Alligator mississippiensis: one gene and its partners. The protein of the gene in region 1 interacts with the protein of each later gene in a pairwise test. Links are inferred from orthologs where the notes say so. Each region holds a gene or a part of one and is shown in the gene's direction. Other genes may lie near its edges.

What was found. The genes of interacting proteins can lie anywhere in the genome.
Region 2: the proteins of DISC1 (region 1) and TUBB interact in a two-hybrid assay, tested with the Homo sapiens proteins (2 studies listed by BioGRID and IntAct). The link is inferred for Alligator mississippiensis from reciprocal best matches to the Homo sapiens genes DISC1 and TUBB.
Region 3: the proteins of DISC1 (region 1) and ROGDI interact in a two-hybrid assay, tested with the Homo sapiens proteins (2 studies listed by BioGRID and IntAct). The link is inferred for Alligator mississippiensis from reciprocal best matches to the Homo sapiens genes DISC1 and ROGDI.

The regions. Positions count from the first base shown.
Region 1 is NC_081824.1:149,966,837-149,974,941, forward strand, and holds the start of DISC1 (disrupted in schizophrenia 1 protein), read left to right. Parts: upstream 1-4,876; 5' UTR 4,877-4,939; intron 4,940-8,105. UniProt on the Homo sapiens protein: Involved in the regulation of multiple aspects of embryonic and adult neurogenesis. Required for neural progenitor proliferation in the ventrical/subventrical zone during embryonic brain development and in the adult dentate gyrus of the hippocampus.
Region 2 is NC_081834.1:57,379,408-57,387,145, reverse strand, and holds the start of TUBB (tubulin beta chain), read left to right. Parts: upstream 1-4,524; 5' UTR 4,525-4,651; coding exon 4,652-4,708; intron 4,709-7,738. Other genes in the region: FLOT1 (flotillin-1), read left to right, coding at 1-96, 1,107-1,271, 1,647-1,679. UniProt on the Homo sapiens protein: Tubulin is the major constituent of microtubules, a cylinder consisting of laterally associated linear protofilaments composed of alpha- and beta-tubulin heterodimers.
Region 3 is NC_081836.1:30,383,867-30,391,387, reverse strand, and holds the start of ROGDI (protein rogdi homolog), read left to right. Parts: upstream 1-4,307; 5' UTR 4,308-4,326; coding exon 4,327-4,368; intron 4,369-7,521.

The DNA.
Region 1 (8,105 bases):
GGATCTAACTCTATGCTGACAAACATGATGTACATAACTTACTTCAGGCAATGAAAACCATCTGCAGCCCAACTTTCCACAGTCCTCATTTCCTGTGATTCAGGAGCATCAGGCCACCCTGCAAAAACAATGAATGTTAAGATGTAAGCCAGATGTAAAGAACACTTTGAGGCACTCCTGAACTGTGATGGATACCACCATTGAGTCCAAAGCCCTGAAAGAGGATCCCGAGCCAACCCTTTTATCCTAAAAGAAATCTGGTGTGCCATCAAGGAAACCAAGAGCATGGCTATTAGGCTGGATGGCATACTTGCTGTAATCTACAAGGCTGGTACTAAGACTCCATTCTTCAAATTAGGAACAATGAGGAGCTCCCTGGGGACCTCAGGAATGTCAACATAGTAACTATCTTCAAAAAAGGACATAATAAGTCTGTCTGTCAGAACTATCAAGGTATCACCCTCCTTTCCACAGCAGGGAAAATACTCTTCTGCATCCTTCTGAGCCATCTTCTACCTCTTGCTGAGAAAGTCCTGTCAGAATCTCAGAGTAAGTTCAGATTATCCTGTGGGGCAATTAACATGATCTTTGTTGCCTGCCAGATTCAAGAAAAGTGTTCGGAACAACATCAGGACCGGTATATGGTTTTCATTGACCTTACTAAGGCCTTTGATTTGATTAATCATGGAGCCCTATGAAAGTACTGGCCAGATTTGGATGTCACGGAAGTACATCAAGACCCTGAGGCTTCTCCATGACCAGATGACTGCAACCATTCTTTGTAGTAGATTGGAGACAGACTTATTTGTCATCTGAGCTAGGGTCAAGCCAGGATGCATCCCAGCTCTGTTCTCCAATAATTTGACTGTCATCCTGGCTCTCATTAATGACTGCCTTCCTTCTGGAATTGACACTGAATACCAAATCGATGGAGGACTCTTCAGCTTGGGACATTTTCACTTGAAGACCAAAGTACTCAAAACAACCATCCTTGAACTTCAATGTACTAGTGACTGTGCACATTGGGGAAAACTTCCACACCATGCTGGATCTCTTTGGAGAAGCCTACCAAACTTTGGGCCTCTCTCTCAACATTGAGAAGACCAAAGTGCTTTATAGTTTGCCCTGGTGCTGAATGTATCTCAGCATGTCTTTATTCATTGCAGTCTCTGGAAAGACACCAAGATCCAGGTCTACAATGGAAAAATCATCCCCGCTCTCCTCTATAGATGTGAAATGGGGATGACCTACCATTACCATCTCAAGAGCCTGGAGAAGTATCACCAATGATGCCTCCAGAAAATCCTCTGCATCAAATAGGAACGTTGACTCAAACACCAGCATCTTTGTTGAAGCCAGTGTTACCAGCATTGAGTCAATGATCCTCAAGCATCAACTTCACTGGACCTGACATTGTGTGCAGATGCCTCACTCTTGCCTCCCAAAACAAATGCTGTACTCCCAGCTTAGTAATGGCCTGAGAAAATGCTACAAAAACACTTTGAAGGCATACCTCAAGAAAACAGATGCTGTCAATAAGATTTGGGAGAAGCTGGCTGCCAACCGACTCCAGTGGCACCACAACCTTACCCAAGCAGCAGCTCATTTTGAGGTAAAATGTCTTGCCCTCAAAGCTGAGAGAGCAGAGGAAGGAAAAGGAGAGGAATCCCAGCCTGCAGCTTAGTCTCCTTCTGTGGATGGATCTGTGGCTCTAGGATTGGACTCCCAAGTCACCACAAGACTCATCAGTGAGCCATGGTAGAGACCATCCTTGGATCAAGGGATTATCACCTATGGGTCCTTGCCTACCTCATGTTGGAAATGCCAAATGTTCAGAAGGGAAGCACTCTCAGCAGAGGCCTGGTAAAAGACTGGGTAAAGGTGCTGGCATACAGTTTGAATTAGGACCTAGGGAAGAGTCCACAGAATTGTGCCCCTCAGGCAAAGAACCTGAGCAAGGTCATCCCCATAGTAGAAGGGTCTGATTTTATACAGAGGCAGAGGGAAGACCCAGACTTTGTTCCACTCTATTGTCAGGTCCCTGGTCCACCCACAGTTTAAAATGAACTGTCTGGCAGTGGCAGCAGCGTTTCTAGTCAGGCAGCTGATGAGGGAGTCAATTGACTTCAGGGCTCGTTATTATCTGCCCGATCCCTTCTTAAAACTTCATTTCATAAGTATTAATGACCCTCTCTTCTTTCTAATGGCCTTGATTTTCTACCCATCAGGATGTCCTTCCTTCTGCCATTCTGTGGTCTGTTAGGGCTCTGCTACACATTCAAATTAAAGCTGGATAGAAACCAGCTATAGAGTTCTTACACATTTTCAAGCACTAACTTTATAGCTGGTTAGCAGTTTTTACAGCTGGAAAGTAATTTTTATCATGTGATAATTTCTGCATATGGGTGGCCAGTCTAAATTTATTGCACGATTCACCCATTAACAAGGTGATAATTACTTTGAACTTGTGGCTGGTCTTACTTTGCAGGTGTGGCCAGTATAAATTTATTTCACAATTCAACTGTGAATTGCATAATATATGTAAGGTATAGCAGGGGCCTCGCTGCTTCTATTTCACAGACCTGCAGATTGTTTTTGAACACATTCCAATTAAGTTATGTTTGTTTCTGCTCCAATCTTAAACAGAATAACACAGCCCTGGACCCCTTGCATTAGTAAAGTTTCTAGTTTAGTTTAAATGGGAATAAAATATGTATTGTGTTATCTGTGATGATGGACCTTATTTGAGTCACTCCCAAGCACTGAATTAGGTGGAGAGACCCTGGCACATGCCTACCCTTGAATGCGCCAGGTTGCAGTCCCTTTTTTGCCTCCTCCAGAACCTCCTGCTGAAGTTCTGGTTGCATGACTCCCTGCCCCTTTTTTGTTATGTGCTCCCTATCTGTGGCACTCCCACATCTGGGACCTCCTGGTCAACCTCCTCCTGACCAAGATGGCAATATACCTGACCAGGAAGGAGGCCCTGGCTGGGAGAACTCTGGGGACTGCAGGGCCATTTTCCTGTCCTTGGTCTTTTCACATCTCGAGGCAGTTTCACTGGGCAGTGTCAGCTGGATTCTTGGATGCATTCAAAGACCAGTGCCCACGTTCTGGTGTTCTGTGCTCAGTCCACCCCCTCAGTGTGCTCGTTCTGAACCTTTGACCCTCACCTCTTCACTTATTTTGCATTTTATTTGTCCCAAGCAATCAGTGATATGCCCTCAGTGGCCCCCCACATCAAGGGGGTGGGTGCTCATAGCCCAGTTTGATGGGCTTTGACTCTCATCCTGTAACAGCACATCAAAAGGCCTGGCCATCTACCAGACCAGTTGGAATTAGTCAGATATGTCACAGAATCCTAGAAAATGAGAGCTGGAAGGGACCTCAGGAGGTCATCTAGTCCAGTGGTTGTCAACCTTTTTTGTACCATAACCCATTTGTAAACATCAGTGGCCATTCCCAACCCAGTGCTCCTCGCGCCCAACCTGCTGCCTTCTGCCACAGTGTGCGTGGTGGGGGCAGAGAGGGGGCAAGCAGCCCCTCACAGGCTGGAGCTCTGCCAGACTGCAAGGGGAAAGCCCTGGCTTCCCACATTTTTTTTCTTTAAAGGAGAATCCATTTTTAAAGTTTGTTTGCAACCCTTTTGTATATTCTTGCAACTCACTTCTGGGTCGTGACCCATGGGTTTAATAACACTGATCTAGTCCAACCCCCTGCTCAAAGCAGAACTGGCCCCAGTGACAGGCAGAAACATTAGGTGCTTAAAGGAACTGTGCTTGACAGGCTTGAAAAGCCGGGTGAAAGCTTTAGTTCCAAGTGACCAGCACCATACCTAGACTCCTGGCACCCACAGGCAAGCTTTTAGTATTGCCCCCCCCTTCACTGGAGATGATAATAATAATAATAATTAGCATTTTGGGGACCCCTTTTCTGCCTGGGCCCCAGGCAGCTACCTGGCTCACCCATGCCTGTGTCCAGCCCTGCAAGTGGCTTGAGGTGCCTGAGAGGTTATGAGGATGATATGTTTGGACTTAAAACACATCAATTCCGCCTCATCCCCACTTGCTGTGCTCAAGCCCCTTTCAGCAGCGTTTCTCAACAGGTGGATTGTCCTTTAAAGTAGAAAAATGTGGGAAACAAGGCCTTTTCCCTTGCAGTCTGGCAGAGCTCCAGGTTGCGAGGGGTTGCTTGGAGCCCCCAATGCCCCACACAGCGGGGGCAGCGGGTTGGGAGTGAGGGGCACTGGGTTGGGACTGGCAGTACCATAACAAGGGGGAGGGGTGAGTGGGGCGATCGCCCTGGGCACTTAAGTGAAGGGGCAACAACAGGCGGTGCCCAGCTTGGGCAGGGAGTGGGACGGAGCAGCAAGCGGCAGGCTTGGGGAGGTGCTGGGACCAGGGAAGGGTAGCTCCAGCCATTGTGTGCACTCCTGGCCAAGCTTGGGTGGGATTTGCATGCAGGGCTGGGGTGAGCTGCCACTATGGGCTTTGCCCTGGTGCCAAACTTTGTTGCTACAGTACTGGGGACTGGCCACTGATGTTTGCAAATGGGTCCTGGTCCAGAAAAGGTTGAGCACCACTGCCCTACAGGATTGAGGCCTGAGATGTCTTTATTTTTTAATCTCCTCAGTAGCTTTCCTGATGAGGGGAGCCCGAGCCCACGCTCTTTGGCAGCTCACAAAGCCTGTCTCCCCCCGCCCGCGGCCGGGCTGGGGGAGGCGCGGGGGTCCTTGCCCTGCCGAGCAGGGGCGGGCGCGGCGCGGGGGTCGCCTGTGCCAGGGCGGGGCGGGGGCTGGCAGCTCTCGGCGGGGGAGTGGCTGTGGCGTGGCGTGGCGTGGCGTGGCGTGGCGTGGCGCGGCGCGGGCTGGGCGGGTGGGGCGGCTCTCGCTGTCCCGGGGCGGGCCGGAGGATGTGGTGCGGGGCCGGCGGCGCGGGGCGAGGTGAGGCCGGGGCGGGGGGATCCCGGCGGTGCATGTGCATGTGCGTGCGTGTGCGGGGCCGGAGCAGCCCGCGCCGCCAGCCCGCCCGGCTCGGGGCAGCGCCGCCGGGTCCCGGCCGCCGAGGAGGCGCCGCCGAAGCGCTTCCCCGGGGCTGCGGCTGCTCGGAGGCGCCGCGACCGGGACGGGGCCCAGGCTGCGCGGGGTGGGGGGAGACTCCTCCGGCCGCGTGGCTGTGCACCCCGGGGCTCGGGGGCAGGGGCAGGCTGGCCCCCGAGCCTGGCCAGGGCACAGCTGTGTAAGGCGGGGCTTCTCGAGCAGGCTGGCACCCAGGGGTGCCTTGAGATCTGGAGTGCTTTGGGGTCCTCCTGGGTGCCTTGGGATTGTGGGGTCCCCTGAGATCTCCTGTGGTGTCTTGGGATCCTCCCAGGTGCTTTGGGGTCCCCTTGGGGTCCCTTGAGATCTCCTGGGTACCTTGGGATTGCAGGGTCCCCTGAGATCTCCTGGGGTGCTTTGGGGTCCTCCTGGGTGCCTTGGGATTGTGGGGTTTCTTGAGATCTCCTGGGTGCTTTGGCATCATGGGATCCCTTGAGATCTCCTGGGGTGTCTTGGGGTCCTCCTGGGTATACTGGGATCATGAGGTCCCTTGAGAAATCCTGGAGTGCTTTTTGGTCCTCCTAGGTGTCCTGGGATCCTGGGGTCCCTTGAGCTCTCCTGGGTGGTTTGGCATCGCAGGGTCCCTTGAGATCTCCTGGGGTGCCTTGGGATTCTCCTGAGTGCCTTTAGACCATCTGAGGGAGCTGTCACTGTTAGCGCTGCTTACCATACACGATGGGCAAGGTTGAATCTAGAGATTGCTGTAGGACTCCCATAGCGGCAGGCTTTCTGCCTGTGTTGCGACAGAACCCCGCTTTATTTCTTTTCTGTAGGCCAAAAAAAAAAAAAAAAAAAAAGTGAAAATGCAAAGCTGGTACATGCCGACAGGTGCCTTGAGTATATCCAAGGATGCCTTGAGTCTAGAAAGGGTGAGAACTGCCTGTGTAAGCTTTTGGTAGGCAGTAGCCTACTTTTTGTCAGGTGCTGTGAACCAAGTAAAGTTTGACAACGTAGGTGGTTGCCTGCCAAACCACATGCATTAGTCTCTCAGGCAGTGGTTCTCAACCTGCTTTAAGCTTGAGGCACCCCTAATTAGACTCAAGGCACCCCATGGAAAATGGCAGCTCTTAGCTGTCACTTATTATTTCTCTGAGCAATTCTTCTGTAGCAAAGAACACAGAAGTACCACAGCTGGGTAGGTGGCTTTTGACAGTGCAGATTCTATTTGAAATCTCCGGGTTTATCTTGTGAATCATGTTTGTACATCCAACAGTACTAACGTTGTGTGACATCCTTGAAAGGATCTCAAGACACCTGATTGAGAATCACTGCTGTAAAGGCCTGAAGCAGCTGCAGGAAGCAGGTGGATTCCTAGGCCTCTGTAGCCTTTGGAATTGCATGTATTCCCAACAATGCTAGTACTGCGTGGCACCTTTGAAAGGATCTCTCAGCATCCCAGGGCACCATGGCACTGTGCTTAAGAATCACTGTGCCAACCTGTCCTGCCTTCTGCCTGACTTCAGACTAAAACAGCTACCTACCTCTCTCTAGAACAGAATAGAAAAGCTTCCAGATATTTCACTGTAAACATTACCACAGAATCTCAACCAAAAGAAAAGATTTGGTACTTATCCGAGGGGATGCTGTTGAGATCTGCCTCTCATTAATGGCAGGTGGCTGAAATTTCCAGACTGTTTCAGGTAGCTGAGCTCTAGTAGTGGAGACAAAAGTCCCACCCGTGGTTGGCTGTGGAATTGCTGTGAGCCTAGTGCAAGTAATAGGTACAGGTTGGTATACTGGTTTGCTCCCTGGAGCCAATTTGTTCCACTCCTCCTGCAGTGTCCAGAGGCATAACTGGCTTGTACTTTGCCCTGGATGGTAGCAGTGCAGGGTGCAGAGGCAGCGGCCAGAGGTTTGCTCTTGTAGTGTGGAGATGACACTTTGTTTTTGCTGCTGATGTGTGTTGAGCGGTGGCCAAAAAACACTGGTTTTTGCTGGCAAAGAAAGGAGCTGGCATCTCTCTCTTTTTATAAGCAGCATGTTGCTCCTATGCACTGGCCAGTCCTACTCCGTGCATCGCTGCTACTGCTTTGCCCACTTGCTGCCAGAGCTGGAGTTGCTGCCTGCGAAGGTGCAGGGTGTGGGGAAAGGGACGTGGAATGGGAAGGTGAAGTGCCCCATCAGCTCTGTTCTGGCACCTCTCCTCCCCTGTCTTAGGCAGCACCTGGGGCTTGTGACTGCTTGCCTACTCATTACATCATTGATAGTGATCATTCTAAAGTTTGGGAGTGCATGAGGTTACTCCTGGTCTTCTAAACATGACAGCAGCGGTGGTTTTTAGTAATATGTATTAGAACTGTTGGTTTGTTTTGCTTTTGTTCACCCAGAAAGCCTGACAGTTTTGAAATATTAAATGTATAATACAGGAACTTTACTCTGAATATGGTCAAATTCCCAGTGCTGCTGGAAAAAAATGCTTTGATTTCCACACTGTGTGACTGTGTTTTAAGTGCATGCTAATGCCAGTACATAATCCACAAAGGAGGGAAGTACAAAGATTTAAAACACATTTTCTACCATTGTTAATACTGGCTTGGATCTTGTCTACATTAAGAAGTTATGGCACACTCCCAAGCAGCATGGATACAGTTACAACTGGTACATGCTATATATCAATATAATTATTCCTGTAGAGGAAGGGGAAGCATTATACTTGTATAACATGTCTACACTAGGGATTTAATTGGCAGAAATTATCTTGCTTAAAAAAAAAATCCCTAACTGAAATAGTTATACTGAGAAAGACTTTAAAGCTAGATTAGCCCTCTGTTCCACCAACACTGAGGATGTTGAAACTAATGGTATAGAACAAGGATGTCAAATATACAGCCCTTCGGCTGCAACTGGCCATTGGAAGGGTTTCAACTCTCAAATGGGCCAGAAATTTAGGGGCAGGCTGAACAACGTTGGGCCTGCCACCTAATTTCCAGCTGTAAAGCCTAGCTGGGGACATGCGTGCGTGTGTGTGGGGGGGTGAGCAATGGCTGCATTAACCTTTTCAGTATCGCTTTCC
Region 2 (7,738 bases), on another chromosome or scaffold:
CGGGCGGACGCTGAACAGGTGGCCAAGAAGGCTGAGGCCTTTCGGCAGTACAGCGATGCCGCCATGGCCGACATGCTGCTGCAGCGCCTGCCCGAGGTAGGCCCTGGCCCAGTATCCATAGGCCACACCCCATCGACTGGCCACATGCCCAGTGTGGGTGGTGCCCATATCTAGGCCACACCCACAGCCTGGCCATATGCCTTTGTGCTGCACAGCCATTGTGCAGGCCACACCCCCACACTGGCCACGCTCCCAGGTCATTGGCCATGCCCCCATATAGGCCATGCCCCCACAGCACCACAGCTACGCATAGGCCCCACCCCCTCTCAGGACCCCAGCAAACAGGCCATGCCCTCAACTCATGCCTTACGCTCTGTGCTCAGGCCACACCTAAACATGTACCTAGCTCTCCAGCCTTCAGGCCACGCTCCCTTGCCCCTAGGACACAGGCCACACCCCGACACATAGGCTTAACCCCCATATAAGTGCCACTCCTATCTAGGCTCCACCCCCCACCTACAGGCCCCATTCCCTGCCTGCAGGCCCCACTCTGCCTAGGCCCTTTCCCCATCATACAGACTGCACCCCATATATGTCCTACCCCCTGCCTCAGCCCCACCCCATTCATACCCCAGCCCTTTGCCTAGTCCTGCTCCTAGCCTGCAGGCTCTGCCCCCAGCACTCAAGCCCTGCCCCAACACATCTGTGTAAGTCCCACCCCCCAGCCTGTAGGCAGCAAAGCATGCCTCACTCCCCTGTATACGCCCTACCCTCAACTTACAGGCTGTACCCCTACACATCCCACCCCCAGGATCCAGACCCCCTCTCCAGGCCCTGCCCCCATACACTCCCCACCCACCGCCCATGCAAACCCAGCCCTACGTGGGCCCCACTCCATCCATGTCGCACCCTTCTGCATAGTCCCCACTCCTGCCTAGGCCCTGCTCCCAGCAAGTAGGCCATGCCTCCATATATACGCCATCCTTCTGCATAGGGCCTGCCCCCACTACATAGGCTACACCCCCAGCCACATGCCGCACCTCTGTGCCTAGGCCCCACCCCCAGCACACAAGCTTCACCCTCCTTAATGGCTTTCTCCCCCACAGGTGGCGGAGGAGATCAGCCGCCCGCTGTCCTCGGTGCAAAGGGTGACACTGGTGTCCAGTGGGGACGGGGCTGTGGGCGCCGCCAAGCTGACAGGGGAGGTGCTGGGCATCCTGGACAAGCTACCTGACACGGTGGAGAAGCTTACAGGCATCAGCATCTCTCAGGTGCCTGGAGACCTGGGTTCTGGTTGGGGGCTGGCACAAGGAGTGCTGCGAGCCTGGATGCCTGATTTTGGGGGTGGGGAGGGGAGTAGGGCAAACTAGAGCTTGGATGCCTGTCTTCTCTGGGAGGGGAGTGAGGGCTGGGGAGCTGGTGCAGGTGGGGCTGGGTTCCCTGGCGCAGGGGGTGAGGATGGGGGTTAGAGAAAGGGGCTAGGAGCCCAGAGGCCTGGGTTCGCTGGGAGTTGCATGGGTGGCTCGTGGGTTAGAGAAGGGGAGGGGGAGTTGGGAGCCCGGGCACCTGGGTGCCTCTTACATGTCTGCTCCTCTCACTGCCTCACACCATCCTTCCCTCTCTCTCTCTCTCTCTCTCTCCTCCAGATAAGCCAGAAGAAGCCAGGCCGCATGTCCTGAGCTCCCGGCACTACCCGCCCCTCCTTGCCTCGCATGGGACCCCCTGCTCCCCCAGCTCTGGGTGGGGCCGAGCTACCCCCTGCCCCCACTTGCACTTCTGCCCCTCTGTGCCAAGTCTGTGTGGTTTACAGACCCCTCTCCCCAGTGCCACTTGGAGGACAGCAGGGGTCCCCCCATCTTCCCTGCTGCCCTCCCCTCCCTCCCACTGCCATAGCCCATCTACCTGCCTCAGCCCCATCTCCTACAGTGCCTTGTCCAGCCCCCGCACAGGGGCAGCTGCCTGTATGTGCCCCGCTGGTGCCACCCGGTCTGTGCCAGACATAATTAAACCCTGCCAGGGTACATGGAGCTGGGCCTGGCTAGTGTCATGTGTGAGGCCTGGGAGTCGGGGGTAACTCCCTGGTGTCCTGGGGGTTGGGAGGCGGGTGCAGCTGCAGTCTGGCAGCCCCTGGTGCCCCCCTGGTGCAAGCAAGGGGGTAGCATGGGGGAGAGTGGCCTAGTACCCCCAGGGCCTGGCCTCCCCCCCACCCCCAGGGCCACGGGAGGGGGTTACAGCCCCCAACACTCCTGGGGGGGGGGGGTGTCTCATTCCTCTCTGCACCTTCACCCTTCCCCCCGCGCCCAACTGGTACCCCTCGCTCTCGCCCCGCCCCCAGGTCCCCTGACCTTTGACCCCCGCCAGGGCCCCGGGCTTGGAGGCCGGAGCCGCAGAACCCGGAAGTAGCTGTACAGAGAGGCGCCGCGGGACCGTAAAGAGGCGGGCGGCGTCGGGCTAGAGTGTCTCCCGGGTTGCGGCCCTGGGCACGGCATGGCGGAGATCGAGAGCAACCACCGGGGGACGGGCTGGAGCGGATACTCCGCATCCTCCACGTGGGCGTGGACCATAGACTGTGGGGCAGGGGAGGAACAGAGAACGCTCTAATGCTGTGGCTAGAGTGTCCGCTGTCGGTCCTCCTCAACATGGCGGCCTCACCCTTCTATCGCGAATGAGCATAGAGATGCCCACGTCGAACCGCCGGGACACTGAGGGGGGAGGAGGGCCCGCCGTCACCCGCCAGAAAATGGCCGCCGCCCGCCCATTGAGTGCGGGGCTAGAGTACAACCGGCCCCGCAGCACGTGGCTCCTTCCTCGTGATTTCCGCTGTTCACTAATGAGAATGACGTCACCCCGGGGCCATTCATAGCCACCGGCCTCTGGGAAGCGCCAGGCCCTTGTCCCGGCCCGGCCTGACCCCAGTTGAGCTGTGCCAGGCGCCATGGTAATGCAGGCCAGGGTTGCCAGGCAACGGGCAGGTTACTAGGGGCAGCCCTGGGTACCAAAAGGGGTATCTCGGTGTTGCCAGGCAACGCGCTGGTTACTACAGGGGGGCCTGGCTACCAGGAGGGGGCGTCTGAGTTACCAGACAACAGGCTGGTTACTTGGGGCTGCCATGGTACCATAAAGGGGCATCTCATGTTGCCAGGCACCTTGCTGACCGGGGCCTGTCCCTGCTCCCCAAGCATACAGGCCTCAGGCCAGGGCTGCTTCCAAGCCTCTAGTGTGCCCCCAGGCCTCGGGGAGAGATGGGAGAAGAGGATGCCAGTGTCCGGAGGGGAGCAGGACCTGCCTGGGGTGGGACAGCCATGACACTGTTTTTGCAAGCTCGCAGCTCCTACACTCAACTCCAGTGCCAAATCCCAGCCTGAATTGGGCGCACCTGGTTGTAGTCATGAGGGAGAGGCTGGGAGCCGAGTTCTCTGCCCCAGCTGGGAAGGGGTGCAGCAAACACATTGCAGCAGGGATGCCCGGCTCCCCCTCCGGCTCTGGGAGAGGAGGAGGTCTGTCAGGGCGGTGGGGTAAAGGTGGCTGGGAGGGGGGGTCAGGGCAGTGGGGTAAGGGGGGGCTGGGAGGTGGCAGGGTAGTGGGGTAAAGGAGGCTGGGAGGCCGGACACCTGGGTCCTTTGCGGGTGGGGGATGCAGCCGGTGGCAGCCAGCACCCCTGGGTTCCTTGGTGAAAGGGCAGCGGGTGCCCGCCCATCCCTCTCTGCCTCCGACTCTAGCAGGGCTGCGGCCGGTCCCCAGGGGTGGGACTGCTTGGAACTCAGCTGGGGGAGACTCAGGGCTGTGTCCGACGAACCCAGGCGTCCGCCCCCCCCCCCAGCCCCCACTCCGTCCCGGAGACCCCAGGCGTCCGGGGCAAGCGGGACCTGCCTGGGGCTGGACCCTGGGGACAACATGTCGCCAACAGGGCGGTGATGAGCGATCTAGGAATGAGCCGGCCCCGCCCCCTCCCCGGGAGCCCAGGCCGGCCGCCAGCTCCTCCCCGCCCAGCCGCACCCTGCACCAGCTCTGCGACACTGCCAGCCCCAATCAGCGGGCAGTGGGGGCGGGGCCAATCCCGGGCGCCTGGGTTCCCTCTCCCTTCCCAGGCCCTGCCTCTGCTCCCTTCCCCAGGCGCTTCCTTCCTTCCCGCTGCTTCTGTCCCCGACGGGGGGCTGGGCTGGGAACCCGGGGTAGGGGCCCGGACCCCTGGTTCTCGGGGGCGGGGTCGGGGCCCAGACCCTTGGTTCTCTGTGGGGGCGGGGTAGGGACCCGGACTGCTGGTTCCCTCCCCAGCCTGGGAAAACCTCTGGGGTTCAGTATTGCCAGAAGCACCCCACCCACCCCTCCAGAACAAAAGGTGACTACAACTCCCAGCAGCCTTTGCACGGACCCCACCCTGCCCTGCTGGCTCCCCACTCCCGCCCGCTATCACGTGTGCGATCCCCTTCTGGCCAATCAGACCCCGCCCGGCTGATCCCAGCCGACCAATCAGGGGCCTGGCCGCCGGCCAGGCTATAAAAGCTTTGTCTATATCAGCCCCCGCCTTTTACCAGCCCTTTAGAACGTTGGACGCCGCCGCGTTCGGAAGGAGGAAACTTGGGCTCCGCAGCGTTCTACCCTTAAAGGGGCGCGTCGCACCGTCAAAAAGGGGGCAAAAAGGTCCTGCAAGATGAGGGAAATTGTGCACATCCAAGCCGGCCAATGCGGTAACCAGATCGGCGCCAAGGTGAGGCGGGGTCCGGTTTGCTCGGACCTGTGCAGATCCTCCGGGGATAGGGGATCGCGCCTCGTAGGGCCGGATGGTGCCTATAGGGGGGTGATTTGGCGCTTTTTAAATTGGACAAATTCCTTTAACTCGCCCGGGAGATCGGGGGTGGGAAACCCGTTTAAAACGAGAGAGGGGGCGGGGGGGTGTCTGGGGGTCCGGGTCCCCCTCTCCCCCCCAGCCTTAGAGACTCCCCTCTGATGGCGGCGCGGGGAGACCCGGCCCGCGGAGCAGCCGGCGGGAGCGCGTGGCGGGGTGGGGCGGTCCGGCCGCGGGGGGAGGGGAGGACTCTGCTGCGCGCCAAACCCGCGCGTGCGGGGGGAGGGAACGCGATTTGAACCAGGAGCCGCCCCCGGCGGGGCGGGGCGGGGGGGCTCGGAGCGGGACGAGGCTTCCTGCTGGGGACGCGCCGGCGGGAGAGAAGCGCCCTGATCTGGGGCGGGGCGGCGGCAGCCCGATCTGGGGAGGGGGCTTCTCTCCATCGGGAGGGGGCGTAGCTCGGCGGGGATCGGGCCCGCTCCTGGGTGGTACTAGAAACTTGGTCCATTTCAGCCCCACCCCCTTTTTTGCGGGGAGTGGGGGGGTCAATTTCAGTCTCCTTCCCCCACGTTCGTTTTGGACCCGATCAATTTCAGCCCCTCCCCCTTTGTGGGGGCGCGGGAGTGGTCCATTTCAGCCCCTCTTGCTTTCTGGGCTGTTCAGTTTCAGCCCCTCCTCGCCGGCTCCGGTCCGCCCCGTCTCGCTGGTGGATTCCCCCCCCCCCCGCGAACTTGGCCCCGGCCGTGAACTTGGCCCTGGCCTCAGCCCCGTGCCTCGGCTTTGCCTCCCTCCGGGGCCGGCTTAATCCGCATTAAAAGGGGCGGCGGGCTGCTCGCGGTACCTGCCTTCCCCTCCCCACCCGCCCCGCAGGGTCGTTCTGCTCGATCCGGGTTTGCTACATAGTGTCCGCGGTGCCGACCTGTCACACTGTAGCCGCGGGAGGAGGCGGCTTGGAAACCAAGTTGCCAAAAAAGGTGTGTGTGGGAGGGGTATCGCTCTGCTCCTGGTGGATCCGGGGTGGGGGCAGCCCCCAGCCTCTGGCACTCCCTGCTGCCAAGGATTTGCTGCTTCCCCCACCCTCTTTTGTCTGCACAAGCACATGGCTGCAAAGGCGGGTTCTCTCCCCCTCTACCTGCAGGGGTCTTCCAGCTGGATCCTTTCCCCTTTCAATGGGATCTGGCTGGTCCCCAAGCTTGGACTGACTATTTTCACCTGTCTCCCAGCACCCAGAGGGGAATCTGCTCCTCCACCTCCTAGTTATAAGGGGATCTAGCCCCCCCCTTCCCCTTGGGCCAGAGTCTGCAGGGATCTGTAAGCTGGAGTCTTTGCCCATTCAAGGGACTCAGGGTTGATACCACAGCTCTGCCCCAGTCTCCCAGTACCTGCATTTGGGATCCATTCTCCTTCTCCACCTCCTAGGTATAAGGGGGATCTGGTAAGTGGGTGGCTCCCCTCTCCCCTGGGCTGGGCTCTGCAGGGATCTCCTTGCTCAAGGCTGGATCCTTTCAATGGGATCTGTTTGGGGACCAGGTCTGAGATTTGGTTTGCTTCCTTCCCCCAGCTTGCAGTGCCCAGATCAGGAACCATTCCACCCTCTAGTTATAAGGGGATGTAGTGGGTGCAGCTCCCCTGGTGCCAGGATCTCCCCAGCTAGATCAGATCCCCTCCTTTCCCTTTCCAGTGACTAGGGGATCTCAAGGGCTGAGACTACTTTCTTTGTGCCTCTCTGTAATGGCTGCTGTTGGGGGAAGGAGGCGGAGGTGGTGAGCCAGCCAGACATCTTGGTGAATGCGGTCATCCCCAGCCGGAGGCCTCTGGGATTATTTCCCCTCCCCCTTCCTTTCTGGCTCTGGCTTTTAAAATGCAATTGCAGATGTCCTGGGCGGGTCCAGATCATCTTTGTGGCCGGAAACTGCTGGGAGCTGCCTCATTCTTGCCTGAATCAGGGCTTTTCTCTCCCACTTCTTACTTGCCTTCCAAATAGGAGTTTGACTTTTTTTTTGGTTTTTTTTTCTTTTCTTTTTTTTGTTTTTTTTTTTGGAGCTGGATTCCCTTATAAAGACCTCAAGAGCCAGGCTGGGGGGTGGTGGGGGGTTATTTTGAGCTGGAGATGGCTACAGACAAGGCTGCTTCCTTCCCTCTCCTCCCAAAATGAGCTGATTCTCTGTTTTTATTTTCTAACTCCCCAACCCTATTCCAGGTGCCCACTCTCAAGAGATTGAAGCCTGCCTCTTTTTTTTTACTGCCAGTTTTCCCCCAAATGACTTTGATTCTGTGCGTTTCCAGTCCTACACCAGATGCCAGTCCTTGAGAGAGTGAATCCTGCCAATAGCTCCCTCTGTGTGTGTGTGTGTGTGTGTGTGTACATATTTTTTTTTAAACTCAAGGCTTTGAATTCAAGGTTTTTTTCCCCACCCCACCCCCTCCTTTCTCTATCAATAAATAGACTGAAATGTATATTTTTTAAAGACCTTTATATTTTTCAATCCAATGCCTTTGGATTCAAGGTACTGTTTCTCCCTCCTCTCTCTCTAAAAGTGAATGAGCCTGGGTTTTTATAGAGTTTTATATCTAGCTATTCAGCTGGCTATAATACTTAGAAGTCTTCTGTTTTTCAGCACACAAGCCTTTGAATTCAAAGTAGTTTCCCTTCCCCGTTCCTTTCTCTATCCACAAATAGCTTGAATTTTATAGGGGCTTTCAATTTTGGAGATATAAGGTATAGCCTATATCCTTATATGCGGCCCATATCCTTGTATCTTATAAGATAAGGCTTTGAATTCAAGATGGCTCTTCTTCCCACCCCCCACCCCTTTCTCTATCAATAAATAGCTTTAATTTATAGGGTTTTATGTTTTTCAGTGCATACTTTGAGTTCAAGATAGTCTTGCGCCTCCCCCCCCTTTTATCAGTAGGCTGAGTTTATAGGGGTTTTTTTAACATCATTTTTCA
Region 3 (7,521 bases), on another chromosome or scaffold:
TCAGTACGCCTGAAGAACTAGCTTGCAGAAATATGATCAACCTTCTGGATTTACTAGATCTCTAGAGAGCCTCTGATCTTATCCAATCAGGTTAGAAGGTTTCCTTGATGTTGCAAATAATGTTATAATACTGTCTGAGGCTGGGGAATGGAGGAAGTTGAACTTCACAACCCATCTCTGGTCCTGTAAATTAGCAGTAGCTGTGTTCAGTATTGTAACATAGTTGCAATGAAAACTATTTTAAGCTCAAATTCATTTAAATAGCAGGATGGATTCAAGGAAAAGAAACTGAGTATCTCTTTAGCATCTTGTGTAATTGCCTGTCTTTTTTATATCAGTTCTACAGTATGTCCTTTGACAAGACACAGAAAAATTTATATGTATCCTTGGCCACAGGACAGATGAGCAATTGTATTAAGCAGTAAAAATCTGCACCTCCAAAATGCTGTCCTAAGCTGGTACTAGTAGTAATGGCAATGTATCAGAGAATGGATAAGCAGTGGCCATTCACCAAAAAGTCCATTTGAGCTGGTGGCAAGATCAGTAAACAAGTAGACTTGGCAAACAGCAACCTATGCAGCCCAAGCATAGTGCCAGTAGTGCCTGCAGTGTTTGAAACCTTAACATTGCAACAGCAGGAGGCGGAGGGTGATTGCAGAGCAAACAAGTGAAGTAGATTTCATGCTGCTTTGGGGGAAGTAAAGGGCACTGCAAAATGATAAGCAATAGAAAGCAGCAAGCAGGCTAAGGTTGTTTTTGCTTTAAATGACCCAAGAAACCATTGGTTGCATAAGGAAATCCAGTCTCCTGAAATGTCAGTTTAAATATATTTTTGAAAGCTTTCCCAAGAATACTGTAGTATCTACCCACTATGCCTTTTTCCTCCTCTCTCTCTCGCCCAGAACACAGTAGTCTAAACTGATCTTTAAGAGAGCTGTGTGCAGCCCCAGAGGAGCTCTCGGGAAGCACAAACCAGCTCCGGGGGAGCGCTCAAGCGCTGCTGTTCTGACTGATAAAGCTCCAATGAGCGATCAATTGGGAGAGGACCGTTCCCTCCAAGGACGTGTCCGCATCTTGGCCAGATCAATGAATACTCCCGAGTTAAACGGTATTGGCTGGTTTGTACATTACTGTAAGTAGGAAAACAGCTTCCAGGACTGGAGGGCTCAGGTACAGAGTTCAGGATCCAGGGCAATGTTAACATAAATCTTGCAGATGCCTCCTCTGCTCGTGCTTGTAGGGAGGCAGTTAGATGGGCCAAAGCTACCATGGAGCTGTGGATGGCAACCCAAGTAAAAGACAACAAGAAATTGTTTTTTAGATATATAGGGAGTAAAAGGAAGGCCCAGGGAGGAATAGGACCCCTGCTAAATGGGCAGAAACAATTGGTGACGGACAGGGGGGACAAGGCTGAACTCCTCAACGAGTTCTTTGCCTCAGTGTTCCTAAGCGAGGGGCACGACAAGTCTCTCACTGGGGTTGTAGAGAGGCAGCAGCAAGGCGCCAGACTTCCATGCGTAGACCCTGAGATGGTGCAGAGTCACTTGGAAGAACTGGATGCCTTTAAGTCGGCAGGCCCGGATGAGCTCCATCCGAGGGTGCTGAAGGCACTGGCCGACATCATTGCAGAGCCACTGGCGGGAATATTTGAAAGCTCGTGGCACACGGGCCAAGTCCCAGAGGACTGGAAAAGGGCCAATGTGGTCCCCATTTTCAAGAAGGGGAGGAAGGAGGACCCGGGCAACTATAGGCCAGTCAGTCTCACCTCCATCCTTGGCAAAGTCTTTGAAAAAATTATCAAGGCTCACATTTGTGAGAGCCCGGCAGGACAAACTATGCTGAGGGGAAACCAGCATGGGTTCGTGGCAGGCAGATCGTGCCTGACCAATCTAGTCTCTTTTTATGACTGGGTTACGAAACGCCTGGACACAGGAGTAGGGGTGGATGTCATATACTTAGACTTCAGGAAGGCCTTCGATACAGTATCCCACCCCATACTGGTGAACAAGTTAAGAGGCTGTGATGTGGATGACTACACAGTCCGGTGGGTGGTGAATTGGCTAGAGGGTCGCACCCAGAGAGTCGTGGTGGATGGGTCGGTATCGACCTGGAAGGGTGTGGGCAGTGGGGTCCCGCAGGGTTCGGTCCTTGGACTGATACTCTAATGTCTTCATCAGTGACTTGGACGAGGGAGTGAAATGTACTCTGTCCAAGTTTGCAGATGACACAAAGCTATGGGGAGAAGTGGACACGCCGGAGGGCAGGGAACAGCTGCAAGCAGACCTGGACAGGTTGGACAAGTGGGCAGAAAACAACAGGATGCAGTTCAACAAGGAGAAATGCAAAGTGCTGCACCTAGGAAGGAAAAATGTCCAGCACACCTACAGCCTAGGGAATGACCTGCTGGGTGGCACGGAAGTGGAAAGGGATCTTGGAGTCCTAGTGGACTCCAAGTTGAACATGAGCCGGCAGTGTGACGAAGCCATCAAAAAAGCCAATGGCACTTTATCGTGCATCAGCAGATGCATGACAAATAGGTCCAAGGAGGTGATGCTTCCCCTCTATCGGGCGCTGGTCAGACTGCAGTTGGAGTACTGCGTGCAGTTCTGGGCGCCGCACTTCAAGAAGGATGAGGATAACCTGGAGAGGGTCCAGAGAAGGGCCACTCATATGGTTAAGCACCTGCAGACCAAACCCTACGAGGAGAGACTAGAGAAACTGGACCTTTTCAGCCTCCGCAAGAGAAGGTTGAGAGGCGACCTTGTGGCTGCCTATAAGTTCATCACAGGGGCACAGAAGGGAATTGGTGAGTATTTATTCACCAAGGCGCCCCCGGGGGTTACAAGAAATAATGGCCACAAGCTAACAGAGAGCAGATTTAGACTGGACATTAGGAAGAACTTCTTCACAGTTCGAGTGGCCAAGGTCTGGAACGGGCTCCCAAGGGAGGTGGTGCTCTCCCCTACCCTGGGGGGTCTTCAAGAGGTTAGATGAGTATCTAGCTGCGGTCATCTAGACCCAGCACTCTTTCCTGCGTATGCAGGGGGTTGGACTCAATGATCTATTGAGGTCCCTTCCGACCCTAACATCTATGAATCTATGCCTGGGAAAAAAATCCAGCCTGTAATTTAGTTCAGTGCAACTCTGCGTTCATGTAAGGCTGTTGAGTGCTTAGGAAAAAACTAAGGCTTGAGATTGGAGGGGAGGTAATGTGCCAGAAAGAACTAAAATAAAGCCTGATTATGAAGACAAAGCTGCCAGAGGACACTAGCACACACTTACAGCATGTCAGGCAGCCTGGCCTGTTATGTGACCACTCTGAGTGCTGTGTTAAGTGTTAAGAGTGCAAATAAAATCACCAGTTCACAAAAATGCCCCCTTATCCCCTAGGATTTTTTTTTTACTTTTATGTATCCCAGGAAAAATTAGCCCAAACTAATTCCAAATTCAAGAGGTCAGAATCATAAGTGGCCCTACTACCGGCAACCATCCTCCACCCACACCTGGGGCTTCAGAGGTTTCCAAATCCTTTAGCAGGCATCCTCCGTGCAGGCTTGAGCCCGGAGGCCTGGGGTTCAGATGCCCCCAGTTCTGCTTGCCCTCGCAGCGAGCAAGGGAGGAGACTGGGCTTAAAGCCGCTGCACCTGGGTGGGTACCGATCCGCGCCAGAAGAGCAGCTCTCACGGGGAGCGCTTTAGGAAAACTGCCTTCACAGACACGTGGTCCTTCCACAAGCACGGTGCTTGACCTGAGCCGACAAGAGGATTTCCTTCCCTTGCAGCTGCATCCTCAGACACAGGCGTCGTCCTGCAGGAGCCAGGCTCCTTGGCCGGTGCACCCCTGGGCCCGGGTCAGCGCTCACAGCAGCAGGGGACACGCGCAGGCGCTGCAGGGCTGGAGCGTCCTGCTGCTCGGGGGCACGCTCGCACGCGCCAGTCGCTTCCGCCGCGGCCACAGGTGAACCGGGGGGTGCTGCGGGCCCGCTGAGCGCAAACGGGCGGGGCGGAGCACCCGGTTTGGGCCACCTGCAGCGCGGGAGGAGAAGCCGAGCGGAGGCCGCCCCGCCCCCGTCAGCGCTGACATCTCTTGCTGACGTCACTATAGGCGTCTTGGCGTCACCCCCCTGTTGCGGGGAGGGGAGGGGAGGGGCGGGGCCGCGGCTGCGCCCAATCGGCTGCTCCCGGCGGCGCGTTGCCAGGCTGACGGCTGCCTAGCCGAGGCTGGCTGGGCCGGGGTGGGTGGGGCTGCTAGGCAGGGACCTATCCGGAGGCGGCAGTGCTCGAGCTACCCAATGAAGAGGTGGGGGCGGGGCCGCGGCCGGCGGGGATGGCGGCCGGGATGGCGAGCTCGGCAGAGCGCGCGGTGCTGGTGAGTGCGGGCAGGCCCCCTCCTTCCGGGGCCGCACAACCCCCGACTCGGAGCGGAGTCCGACCCCAGCTCCCGGGCCTGAGTCCCGGCACTGCGCGGCCTGCTTCACCCCCCACGCTTGTCCCCGGCGCCCGCGGGCGGTGGGGCGGGGGCGCTGGAGCTGGCGGCGGAGCAGCCCCCGCCCCGGGACAGGCTCTGGTGCGCGGCTGCGCTCGCTGTGGGACGGGCTGGGGCTGGGCGGCCCGTGTTGTGCCTTGACACTCGCGGTGAACGACGCGGCTCCGGGAACCCCCCAATCCTCCGGATCCCTCGGAGGGTCAAGGTCCCCTGCCGCCCCCCTGCCTGTCCCCGGCTGTCGCTGGTTTTGGGCGGGTCCGGGTGGAAGGCGGGGCCAAGGTGCTTTGTCCCTAGGTTCTTGGTGGGCGCTGCCTGGCTCCCGAGGAGGGAGTTCCCAGGGGGTTGTGGGACAACAGTAAAATCTGCTTGGAGGACCCTGAGATTTGTCCGTGGTGGTGCCCTGCGTCCTTCAACTCGCTGCTTGGTTAAAGCCCTTAACAAATGCAGCAAAACAGGGTGGTTGGTTGTCTGGTCAAGCGCAGGGCGCTGGACCCAGGGATCTTCCACTCCCCTTCCAGCCCCTTCCTAGCAATGAATCTATGCATGGGTGATTCGTGGGGGGGCATGTGCCCCCCCCTGAGATTGGTCACCATCACTGTCTTCTGTGGGTGATCACTGCTCACTGCTGCCTACAAATGGTGCACACTCCCTTCTCCCCCCCCCCCCCCCCCCCCCAGGCTCTGGAGGCACCAGTTTTTCTTGAATAAGACAAAAAGGAGCATAATGCTGTTAACCTCCCAGAAGCAGCCAGCAGAATAGATGGAGAAACTTTGGAAGAAGACAGGCTTTTTGGCTTTGTAGGGAGCAAGATGTGCTGTGAGGATGCTGCTGCGCTACTTGTCAGGAAACAGACATCCAAAAACTACAAATAGTTTTCCATAAACTTGAAAAGATTTAGCACAATAGCATAATCAGCCCTAACACATGCACAAGCAGACACATGATTTCAAGCACTGACATCTCATCTTGTCCTCACTTTATGGAACAGAGTCACAGACATTCACCCTAGTAACTGCATAGAAGGTGCATCCGTTCCAGAACAAATACCCGCGGAAGGTCCATCGAGTCTGTCAGAAATTCTAGCGAGCATTGGATGTGGTAAAAAGGACAGTGAGGGAAGCTGGGATCTAGGTTGCGCTTTACAAATGCCACCAATGCAGCTTCCACAATAACTGGTGAAACGCTGTGGAGAACCATTCCATCCAGGAAGCGCACACACCAACTGCTGAAACCTCCTTAGCCTGACGAAGGGTTTTTGAACCCGAAAGCTTGCTTAATAACTATTCTCCAACTATTTGGGTTGGTCTAATAAAAGATCAGATTCACCCAAGGAACCTTGTCTACCCATTAATGGAACGTTTGAGAGCCTGAACAGCGCAGGATGAATGGCAGAAATTTGTGGATGCCCTGGGCACCTGAAGCAGGAAGATCAGGAAAAGGAATCTGCATGTTGTGTATGGCAGGCTCATTTGACAGGCATGTCTGGCATAAGCCACTATTTAAAATTATTGGCATTCCTTTCAAGCAAGAGGGCTTTGCATAAAATCCACATCCTCCCCAACGTTTCTAATGCACATGAGTACAAATCTAGTAGTGTGGCTACTGGGTTGGGATTTGGGATGTCACGGTTCAATTCCAGGCTCAGCCACATGACTGAGGCAACTCAACTCACATGTTGCTTATATGATAAAACCCAATTTGCTGCATGTTATAGTTCTAGCCTGGAAAGCAGGGCTAGTTCTTTCCTACTCACCACAGGAGCAAAAATACTCCTCTCAGCTCCTTGCATCCACCTCTCCCACCCTTTTAGTAATCTTATGACCAGAGTCTGTGTTTGTGGTTAATGCTGCCTTTGCAGCTTCATGATCAGTCACCAGTTATTATTACAGGCTTGCCCAGAGCGGAGGCCTGACTGAGGTCAACTGTGGAGCTGTGCCATCAGGCCTGAACTTGTTAGTTACTGGATTTGTGCAAACAGCCCAAGCCACATCTGGCTTTGATTCAGGTTCATTTACTAATTAAGCTGCTGCTGTTTGGTAAACAACAAGCATAAGAACCATAGCAAACCAACCCCCGGCTTATTTCCAGCGGACCAGGATTCCAGTTTTAGGCGACTCTGATTGTTCATGTAAGGCAGTGAATCAAAACTGTTCATAGATTTCATAAACATTAGGGCTGGAAGGGACCTTGTAAGATCATTGGGTCCAGCCCCCTGCTAAAGGGCAGGAAGTCAGCTGGGGTCAGATGACCCCAGCAAGATAATCATCCAAAAGCTTCTTGAATGTGCCCAGAGCAGGTGCTTGCACCACTTCTGGTGGGGGGTCTATTCCAGATTCTGAAGACTCGGATGGTAAAGAAGTTTTCCCTTATGTCCAATCTAAAACGGTCTTCCAGCAGTTTGTGACAGTTAGACCTTGTCTTCCCTTGGGGTGCCCTGGTGAACAGATGTTCTCCCAGATCCTGATGTACATCCCTGATATACTTATAGACTGTTGCCAAGTCCCCTCTCAGCCTACACTTTTCCAAGCTAAAGAGTCCCATGTCTCTCAGCCTCTCCTCATAAGGCCTGCTCTCTTGACCTCTGATCATGTGCATGGCTCTCTTCTGGACTCTCTCATGCTTTTCCACATTCTTCCTAGGGTGTAGAGCCCAGAATTGGATGCAGTACTGTAGCTGTAGCCTCACCAAGGCGAAATAAAGTGGGAGGATGACATCCTGGGTCTTGCTTTGAGATGCATTGGTAGATGCAAGCCAGGGTTGGTTGTATTTGCTTTGCTGGCTGTGGCATCTCATTGGTGACTCACATTAATCTTGTGGTCAATCGTGAAAGTCTCTTTCAGTCGTGGTGCTAGTGAGTGTAGCGCTACCAGACCTACAGGTATGATGTGGGTTGTTTCTCCTGAGGTGGAGCGCCTTGCATTTCTCTGTGCTGAAAGTCATCAGGTTTTGATACACCTACTGCGAGCCTGTCCAACTTGGCCTGAATTCCCAGCCTGTCCTCTAGTGTGACTGTGCTTCCCAGTAATTTGGAGTCAT